Caenorhabditis elegans: one gene and its partner. The protein of the gene in region 2 interacts with the protein of the main gene of each other region in a pairwise test. Each region holds a gene or a part of one and is shown on either strand. Other genes may lie near its edges.

Evidence for each region. Proteins that work in one complex are often made in the same cells at the same time.
Region 1: the proteins of cdd-2 (region 2) and ZK1307.9 interact in a two-hybrid assay, tested with the Caenorhabditis elegans proteins (one large-scale study listed by BioGRID).

The regions. Positions count from the first base shown.
Region 1 is NC_003280.10:9,646,839-9,652,044, forward strand, and holds ZK1307.9 (Coiled-coil domain-containing protein 130 homolog), read left to right. Parts: upstream 1-2,652; coding exon 2,653-2,967; intron 2,968-3,066; coding exon 3,067-3,324; intron 3,325-3,432; coding exon 3,433-3,577; intron 3,578-3,657; coding exon 3,658-4,049; 3' UTR 4,050-4,124; downstream 4,125-5,206. Other genes in the region: Galactosylgalactosylxylosylprotein 3-beta-glucuronosyltransferase sqv-8, read left to right, coding at 1,100-1,237, 1,317-1,420, 1,467-1,963, 2,055-2,386; ZK1307.4 (motile sperm domain-containing protein), read right to left, coding at 4,193-4,339, 4,649-4,741, 4,792-4,899.
Region 2 is NC_003282.8:7,545,690-7,550,382, forward strand, and holds cdd-2 (Cytidine deaminase), read right to left. Parts: upstream 2,205-4,693; coding exon 2,060-2,204; intron 1,964-2,059; coding exon 1,782-1,963; intron 1,737-1,781; coding exon 1,563-1,736; 3' UTR 1,429-1,562; downstream 1-1,428. Other genes in the region: pam-1 (Puromycin-sensitive aminopeptidase), read right to left, coding at 1-219, 265-499, 576-1,214, 1,324-1,428, 4,356-4,500; oef-1 (C2H2-type domain-containing protein), read left to right, coding at 2,869-2,961, 3,005-3,196, 3,249-3,357, 3,402-3,508, 3,552-3,781, 3,833-4,022.

The DNA.
Region 1 (5,206 bases), on a different chromosome or scaffold from region 2:
AAATAAATCCAATTATTACAAAAAGATGACTAGAAAGGGTATGGGAGGTCACCAGAAGAGCTTTGATTACACCAAGAGGGAGGACAGACACTGTCGGTTTTGTGTGTACGCAGCAGTGTCCGTCGGTACCAGGTCACTTCCAATGAGGTCCCGACTGCTTATTTAATAACACCTTTTTGATGCAGGTGGGTGAACGGAAGGGATAGAAAATGGGTTTGAATTTTTTTCAGAAAAATTTCCAAAAATATCGGAGCATTTTTTGTTTTTATCCATTACAATTTCGATTTCTTATCAGCTTTTTAGTATTATAACTGTCAAAATCCGTCAAAAGTGACGGAAAATCAAGAATAGCAAACATGTTATCAGATTGGCAAAATGCACATTTCAGAAAGTAACAAAAAACTGCTTTTTGAGGAGAATTTCGACTAAAACGTGGAACGAACGACCCTTGGGGTAAATGTGAGAGAATGGAGACACAGGCACGGGTGTGCGCCGCTTCACGTGACTATTTCGCTCTTTTCTTTGGATAATATTGATTTTTTAGTGGAAAAGTTTCGAAACATATATTATTTTAGAGAAGGAATTTTTCTCGTTCTATTTATGTCTTTTCTAACAACAATATTGTTTTATGATAGAGCAGCGCGTTCTTTAATTAGGAAAACACTTTTAAAAGCACAATGATAAAAAATAAATGGCGATAAAAGCGTTGAAAAATCAAAAAACCAATCAAAAACCGGAGAAAAACTTTTGAAAACAATAAAATTCAAACTTTTGTATGTGCCTTTAATATAGCGTGGCGAGACCCGTTCAAACTTTTAGTACTGCGCCTTTAAATTACTGTGAGAGTTATTGATTTTTATTGGATGCGAATTGAGAGATTTTCTTTTCCTTAAATTTTTTTGGTATTTCTTTTCATTAATACTCTGCGTTTTTGTTACAAACTTTTCCGATTTTTGTGTTTTGTAATTAAAAAATCCCACATACGTCAAATCCGGCTTAAAATAGTGCTTTGTCGATCACTTTTTGAACTTCCAAATTTCAATTTTTCAGGGATAAATAAACCAAATGAAACTGTTCGACCTGTCGCCGCACCGACATAATGTTTCCATCTAGATTACTAGAAAAATGGTGGCTCCGAGCATTTATTGCACTTGTTATTTTCTTCGTTTGGCAACTATTTTATGCAATTAATCGGGTACAAAGTTTGGAAGAAGAACGGGCCACTTTGCAAGCTACCGTGAGTTTATTTTTATGTTTCAACTGTTTTTCTGTAACTAAAATGTCACTTTTATCAAAATTTCAGTAATAATTTTCAGATAGAAGTTTTGACACGAAAAAGCGACGGGTTAAGAACGCAGATATTCGAAAAAGAACGAAATTTGGTTCGATTAAATGGGAAAGTTGAGGAGATTGATACACAGTAAGATTTTTTAAAAGTATTTATTCTTCTAAGAATATAATTACAGAATACGCGATCATCTTTCCCTCCTGCCACGTGTTAATCGTTCAACGCCTTTCATTTATTTTATAACTCCAACACATTTCCGCGCTGCTCAGCGAGCCGATCTCACTCGTCTATCCTACACGCTTTCCCATGTTCCCAACCTCCATTGGATCGTTGTAGAAGATTCCGATGAACTCACACCATCCATCGCCGGAATTCTGAAAAGATCAAAAATTCCAAATACACATCTAAATGCTCGAACTCCGTCTGATCAAAAAATGAGATACGATGACCCCAATTGGACGTTGCCACGTGGCGTTGAGCAACGAAATCGAGCACTTTTATGGATTCAAAATCAATTGAGTGGTGTGAAAGAGGGCGTTGTGTACTTTGGAGATGATGATAACACATATGATCTGAAAATTTTCGGAGAAATGCGGAAAGTGAAAAATGCAGGAGTTTGGCCAGTTGGAATAGTTGGTGGAATGTTTGTAGAAACGCCAATTTTAGAGAAAAATGGTACGGTTTTTAAATATTTCCTTAATTTATTTGAACTAGGTTTTAATTTTCATAACCAGTCCTTGCTTAAATTTTAAATACATCTTTTTAGGATCGATTTCCCATTTCAACGCTGTCTGGAAACCGGAGCGTCCATTTCCGATCGATATGGCTGCATTTGCAGTCAATATTTCTCTGGTTCTCTCCAACGCGAACGCTCTTTTCTCATTCGACGTGCCTCGTGGATATCAAGAATCTACTTTTCTTGAAAATCTTGGAATTCATCGTTATAATATGGAACCACTTGCGGAAATGTGCACGAAAGTGTATGTGTGGCATACGAGAACTGAAAAACCGAAATTGTCGAAAGAATCGATTGATCGATTGACTAAAAAGACAGGATTCAACTCGTTAGAAGCACATGCGCTTGGTGTGGATAATTAAGAAAAGTTCTAATTTTGTTATTTTTGTTGAAGTACCCATTTTAGTTTGATATAATTCATTTTCCACAGATTTTACCCAATGTACAAAAACCTACGAGTACCCTTTTATTGCATTTTGACTAACTTTCATAAATATTTTTCTTTACCTTCTTTTCAAAAAATTTAACTCCTCAACAGTTGTGTAGCTGTTTTTATTATTTACAAGTCTTTACTTCTTATACCAATTTTATTCTGTTCTGGAAAACGTAAAACTTATTCCAATTATAGATGGGAGAGCGTAAAGGACAAAACTTCTACTATCCGCCGGATTTCAATTACAAAACCCACAAATCTTTAAATGGATATCATGGAACCCACGCGCTTCGCGAACGTGCCAAAAAGATTGACCAAGGAATTTTGGTGATCCGTTTCGAAATGCCATTCAATATTTGGTGTCTTGGATGTCATAATCATGTTGGAATGGGAGTACGGTACAATGCAGAAAAAAAGAAAATTGGAATGTACTACACGACACCGCTTCACGAATTTCGAATGAAATGCCATCTTTGTGATAATTATTATGTGATTCGGACCGATCCAAAGGTATTTTCTAACTTAAGAAGTGGATGTAGTCTTTAAAAAAATATAATTCAAATTTCTAATTTTATCTTCAAAAATCTTCAAAAAAAATCATAACTTCAGAATTTCGACTACGAACTAGTGGAAGGATGCTCACGACAGGAACTTCGTTTCGATCCAACCGACATTGCACAAATCGGAGCAGTTGATCGTGGTTTTACTCAGAAACTCGCAGCAGACGCAATGTTTAAAAAAGAACATGAAGCAGAAGATAAAGATAAAGCAGCTACTGAAGAAGGACGAGTTGATAAGTTGGAATGGATTCAAGAGAGAATGAGAGACGATTTTACAGCAAATTCGTTTTTGAGAGCACAGTTTAGGGTAGGTTTTTTTGGCTTTTTAAAATCCATTTTTGGGAAATGCAGTTGATTTTTTTTTTAATTCTTTGAAAATTTTCAAAAAATTTATTAATTTTTCTTCAATTTTCAGAACGAGAAGAAATCCCTCAACGAAACTCGTGCTCGAGATGCGAATCTTCGTGATAAACTATCCATTGGAACGACTCAATTATTACCAGAAACAGAAGAGGATCGACGGATAGCGTCTATGATGACAAGATATCGAGATACAAAAAGTGAGTTTTTGCTTCTTTTATATCATTAAAAAATATTTACAGCTTTTAATTCCTGTTCAATAAAAACTATTAAATTACAGCTCACGATGATCACCTCGAATCTTCCCGCGATCGAATCGAATCACGTAGGATCTTCAGACGACCGGAAGAAACTGACACACCATCCACGTCTTCTGGATCTTCTGGAGGCGCTGTTCCATCCGCTTCCGAACGATTGAAGGCTACAATGAAAGCAGAGAGAGATAAACGAATCAATGCCTCATTTTCAACTGCTGGAACATCATCCGCGACTCAGAAACTTTTAGGAATCAAGAGAAAATCAGCTTCGTCTCTGGGTGTTCAAATTAAAAAAGCCGCTCCGGAAAACTCAAGTCTCCAAGATGAAGAACCTGCAGTGGAGAAGCCAAACATTTCAAACCCAATCTCACTTATTGCTCAAGAATACGGAAACTCGTCAGACGATTCAGATTAATTATTTTATCGAACGTTTAGCTGTTTTTTCTCTGTGAGAATTATCTTACTAATAATAATAAACACCCAGAACAAAAATTCCAATCTTCATTTTTACATACAATGCTCAGTTTAAAAATATCTTGTTTTTCTTTGGTGTATTATTCATTCGGCAGCAGACAACTTGATGACTGTCTCTCCAGAAAGCTCTCCTGGTGGCACTCCATTTGCGAACAATGGTTTTGGATCCGTGTTCTCATCAACTACCATACAGTACTGGATGATCAACTTGTCGGCTTGTGGCTTTCCAGGCTGAAATTTCAATGAAAATTATTACATAGAAGTCCAAGAATGAGAATTTCCGCCATATCTTCCGCGCATGGGTCTCACCATGCTGACAAAGGGCTACTGTAACTCGTGTCATTTTATGGGTCGCGATTGTATCATACGTTGATTAAAAAAATTTGGAAGCACTATTTCATTCGATATGAAAGTTATAATGCAATAGTGGAGCAAAACGTTGCGAAGTACAGTAACTTATTGTCAGCGTGGTGAGACCCAAACTTTCATCTTTAAACGGCTTCGTAATAGATTGTGTTCCTAGATTTAGAAAATTTATACCTTTCTGGTGATGACCAATTCCTTGACATCGCAAACTTTCAAGATTCCATAGATTAAGTTGACGCTGTAGTTTGAGTTGTTTGAGGATTTTACCTGACATGGTATTTTCAATTGACCAGTTTTCCGGCAAATAAAGAACCAACCTTATAAGCCATATGGCGATCGGTATGATTGATCATCTTGTGCTTCGAAACTCCTCCATTGGCCTGGATTGGGCACACTGGTGGATCCAACGAAATTTCGACTCCCATTGCGGCTGCACTTGACTTGGTTTTAAATCAGAACAAATTCTAATCGATTGATTCGGACGTTCTGTTTTACACGTGTTAAGATTTTATCAGCTGATGTTTTTTTTTGAGAATATGGAAGGTCGCGTGGAAATTTGAAAAGTTGTGAAAACGAAAATTAAAGTGATTTTATTAATTTGTGAAGTAATGGCATTGAGGAACAAATAATAAAATTTTCAGAAAGTTAAGTAATATCTTAACCAAACTCGTTCTCGAGATAGTGTCTATCCGTTGGACCGACCCAATTTTTTTTTCAGAAACAGAAGAGTTT
Region 2 (4,693 bases):
GTAAGTGATCGAATCGTAAATCTCATCAAGCTCATTCGGATTATCAATTTCAACTTCGATTGGATGAGAGTTTCGAAGTGCATCAAGTCCCATTCCAGACGCGAGTTCATCATTCAGGAAATGAAGCCAGATCTTGAACTCTGGACAGTTAGCGCCAACGAACATGTATTCCATGAATGATGCAAATCCTTCTTTAAGCCAAAGATCAGTCCACCATTTCTGAAAAGAATGAATATATATGTTTATTAGTTGAAAATTCCCTACCATAGTCACAAGATTTCCGAACCATAAATGAGCCAACTCGTGAGCAACGACTAAAGCAACTCTAGACTTTTGTCTGGTGGACGTGACTCCTGGATCAACAAGAAGAGCGATTTCACGATACGTGACAAGTCCCCAGTTCTCCATCGCACCCATTGAGAAGTCCGGAATAGCAATCAGGTCACATTTTGGAAGAGGGTATTTGATGTCGAACCACTCATTGTACCAGTCAATGCACCTGAAAATTAGAAATTGAAACTTCATTTGAATTATTACTGAAAATTCAGCTAAAATTATTCTTTAAGATAACTCACTTCACAGAAAGATCCAAACTGTATTGACCTTGTTCTTTCTTTCCAGGTACAGTATACACACGCATCTCAACTCCGCTTTTCGTTTGTGCACTGATATATTCCAGCTCACCAACGGCGAAAGCGACGAGATACGATGACATCTTTGGTGAAGTTGCAAATGTAACTGCCTTTCTCTTTCCATCAGCAGTCGGTGTTTCGGAGATTACATTCATATTGGAGAGAGCGGTCAGATGATTTTCTACTTCCAAAGTAACGTCGAAAGTTGCCTTGTAAATTGGCTCATCGAAACATGGGAATGCATAGCGAGCATAAGTCGACTCAAACTGAGTTGAAGCCAAGAACTTTTCGGTGCCGTTCTTATCCTTGTACTGACTGCGATAAAATCCTCGCATCTTATCGTTCAGTTCACCGACAAACTTGAAGTCGAGCTGAACCTTCTGTGGCTGCATGGTAGTCGGAAGCTTGATAGTCAAAATATTGAGCTTATCGTCGTAGCTAGTTTCGAGAGATTTAGAAGCGTCTCCTGGCTGAGTGATAAGCGATACCGACTGAATCAGCAAACTCTGTGCATGCACCTTCAAGACATCAGTAGCTTCTTTGATTGTGACGTCAATCGTTGCATGACCATCGAAAGAGAATCTGAAAAACAAGAATTAGAACTTGAAGTGGTTTTGTTGCAAATTTAAACTACATATCAACATTTATTACTGCCGTCCTAGCTAAACTGAAATATTATTACAGAACTTACTGGTTGAGGCATGGCGATAAACGGACGTTGTAATGAGTTGGTTCGGCGAATGTTGGAAGCCTCTCAAATTTGACCGCCGCGCTTGGGTTTCCACAGGCCGCCATTCTGAAAAGTTTTATTAATAAAATGAATTTTTGACACAACTAAATTGAAAGAAAGAGAAGGATATCACAAATGAAAAAAAACACTACTAGGAATGGCGGGAAATGTGGAAAGGAGTTTCTGATTGGAATAAAAAATTAAGAGACGACTGTAACGTTATGCTCCGTGGCATCATCTTGCTTTAATCCTTTAGCTTCTGATGCTTTTTCTTGCTCAAAAGTGTCGAGCGATTCAGGAGTGAAAGCAAATGGAAGAAGAGCGCGAGTTGAGGTGATGAGAATTTTATTGTTAGATGCAGTTCCCACAACAACCTGCAACGATGACAGTGAAAAATTAAGAAGCTCTAGTTTTCTTACTTTATAGTCACCGAATTCAACTAGAAATTGACGGCAAAGTCCACAGGGAGACGCAGGTTCGCTGAGCTCAGTGACGACAGCAATGGCACGGAATTTCGTGTATCCTTGTGACACAGCAGAAACAATAGCACTACGCTCAGCGCAGATAGTGCCACCGTATGAAGCATTCTCGACATTGCAGCCTACAGAAAATGCTAGAAACTTCAAAAATGCATGTTGCGAAACTGAGAAGCCCGCAGACATCTCGAGTTATGCAACGACAAGAAATCACAAATTACCCTGGACAATTTCCCCAGATTCAGTGAGAAGCGCTGCACCAACTGGAAACTTGCTGTATGGGCAATGTGCCCGTTTCATCGCAGCTCGGGCCAAATGAACTAGTTCCACATCGGAAATATCTTGAGGAAGACTATTCGCGGCCATCTGTAGTTAACTATGACAAAAGTGCATGAAATGAGAAGCGAATGAGGCGAATTAAATTATTAGAAGAACAGAGAACAACATTGATGAGAAAAGTTAGCAATACACAAAAGAATTTGCGTTGTGGAACGCATGCAAAGTGACGTTAAATCCCATATTCAGTGAACGGGTCGCGTTATATTTAAAAAAAACATGACAAAATGGGAACTTTGCAACTATTTTTCAGCCTCAACTTCGAGAATTGGTGAAATGAAAAATCCACGGGACATTTTTGCGCGCGCGCGGCCCGAGAAGTGGTACCTGTACGCAATTTGTCTACCGTATACCTGGACGTTTGGGCGCGTGTATCTCAAAAACGGTTGGTCCAGTTTTTTTGTGATGCATATAAATAATGTCCGAAATTAAATTCTAAATTTTTTGGACCAAAGCTTTTTTCATTATCACGCGCCCAAACCTGGTCTACACTCAAATTATCAGTAGAGCGCATTTGCATAGATGTACCACTTGCCGGGCCGTGGCGCGCGCGCGCATTACAAAAGTCAAAAAAATGCGCGAGCGTGTTTGCGTATCTCATTGCGTACTCCAGCGTACCGTAGTTTGTCGACCACGAACGTTCGTTCGCGAACGAATTCGAACTCAATTCAAACTTGTCTCTCTTTTTATAACAATGCCGAAATCATTGCGAAAACGGTTTGTACTTGTGAGTATCGATGATAACATCGAACAAATTAATGCTGCACGAAAGCTTCGTCGCTATTTGGTGAGTTTTTTCTTTAATTATTCTTCCTAATTCATATTTTTAGACGAACAATCACTTGAATCACATTTTCTCGTCAACTCCGGAAGAAATGAAAGAATATTTGGATAAATTGGACAGTGGAACTTTTAATTTTCGAGAAACAGCCGAGGAACAGAAATCGGTTGATCCGTTTTCGGAAGCAAACCAACCCGCCATTCAGATGTCTTCAAACCAAGAAATATTAGAGAAATGGGCGGTAAGGATTGAATAACTCGAATATTGTTCGAAAATAATAAAAAGTATTTCAGCGCGGAACTTTCGCCGAAAACTCGGATGCGTTGAAACTTTTGCTCGAGCCAACTAACATCGAGGAAGATGCAGTTTTGGATGATCACGAATCAGAGAACATTGTAAACAGTAAGAGTTCGTTCATTTAATTTTTAATATTTCGCTGATAACAGATATTCCGCAATTGTTTATGGTAAACTCAATGGATGCTGAAACACCAAATGACTCGATAATCGTTGAAAACGGAAAGGAAGATCAACTTGATATGGCATATTGTTCGGTGAGACCCCGACAATTGCGTCAGATTCAACTACAATTTTCAGCTGTGCAAGCATGAAGTGGAAACCGGTAGAAACCGAAATACAAAAATTAGGAAACAGACTGAACATGTTCTAGACGCCCACCCAGAATCGGAATTTCTCAATGTAGACATAGCAAAACGCTATGAGTGTGTCCACTGTTTGAGAACTCTTCCTGTGTCGAAATCACCATGTGAACATATTTCTGAACACCACGATAAAACCCACGTGGAAATTGAATTTCGTGACTTATGGTAGGAAAATCACATTGAAGAAATGCTTTTAAAAATTCGATTCAAATTTAGGTCCAATGAGCAAGTGTCAACTTTCAATTCAGTTATGGAAAAATGCTTCTTGCGTCATCTTCCAGTTCCCAGAAGCCGTAGAATTCGAAACGGAAACACCTGGTATCTCTCCGAAAAGGCCTCGTACAGAATTGTTCGAGGAGGTGAAATTATCCATATCAGCACTGTGGCTGATAAAAGCAAAACAGATGTGAGTTGTTGAAAAAAGGTTTTTGTAAATATTTCAAAAACATAGAAATAAGCTTTTGGAGAAAAAATTAATAGAAACTGGAAGAAGTCGTGAAGCCTATCAGTAGAATGAAATGTTTCAGAATGACACAATGTAAGATCATTAGATTTTTCGTGGAAATTGCTTTAGATTGGTGTGAAAATGATAAACATAACAGACGTATAGACAAATAGGGTGAATGACGTTAGAACCCACCCTTCCATTTTCGATAACGAAAAAGGATAGTTAGAGGTTGGCACTTCGAGACACTATTGTCATCAAAAACACATACACACACCGGGACGCAGAACTGACCCGTGTTCGCCTCTTGCCGTGCGATGGAGCATGTTTGCTGTTGTGTGGTAGGGACGGCACTGGGCGCCGGCGACAAATGAAAGACGTCGGATGGCCGAAAAATTGCGCAGGCAAAGCTGATGAGTGTTGACGGGCTTGATGGATGCTGTAAAAATGTTAGAATGAACAACAGGCGAAACAGCGATTTTTGAGTCAAAAATACGGTACCGAGTTTCGACACGAAAAATTTCATTTTAGGAGTACTGTAACTTCAATCTCTCGTTTTTCTCATTGTTTTCCAATAAAATTGATGTGTTTGTTCAAAAAATAGGTTTAAAACAGGATGAAAATGTTACAGA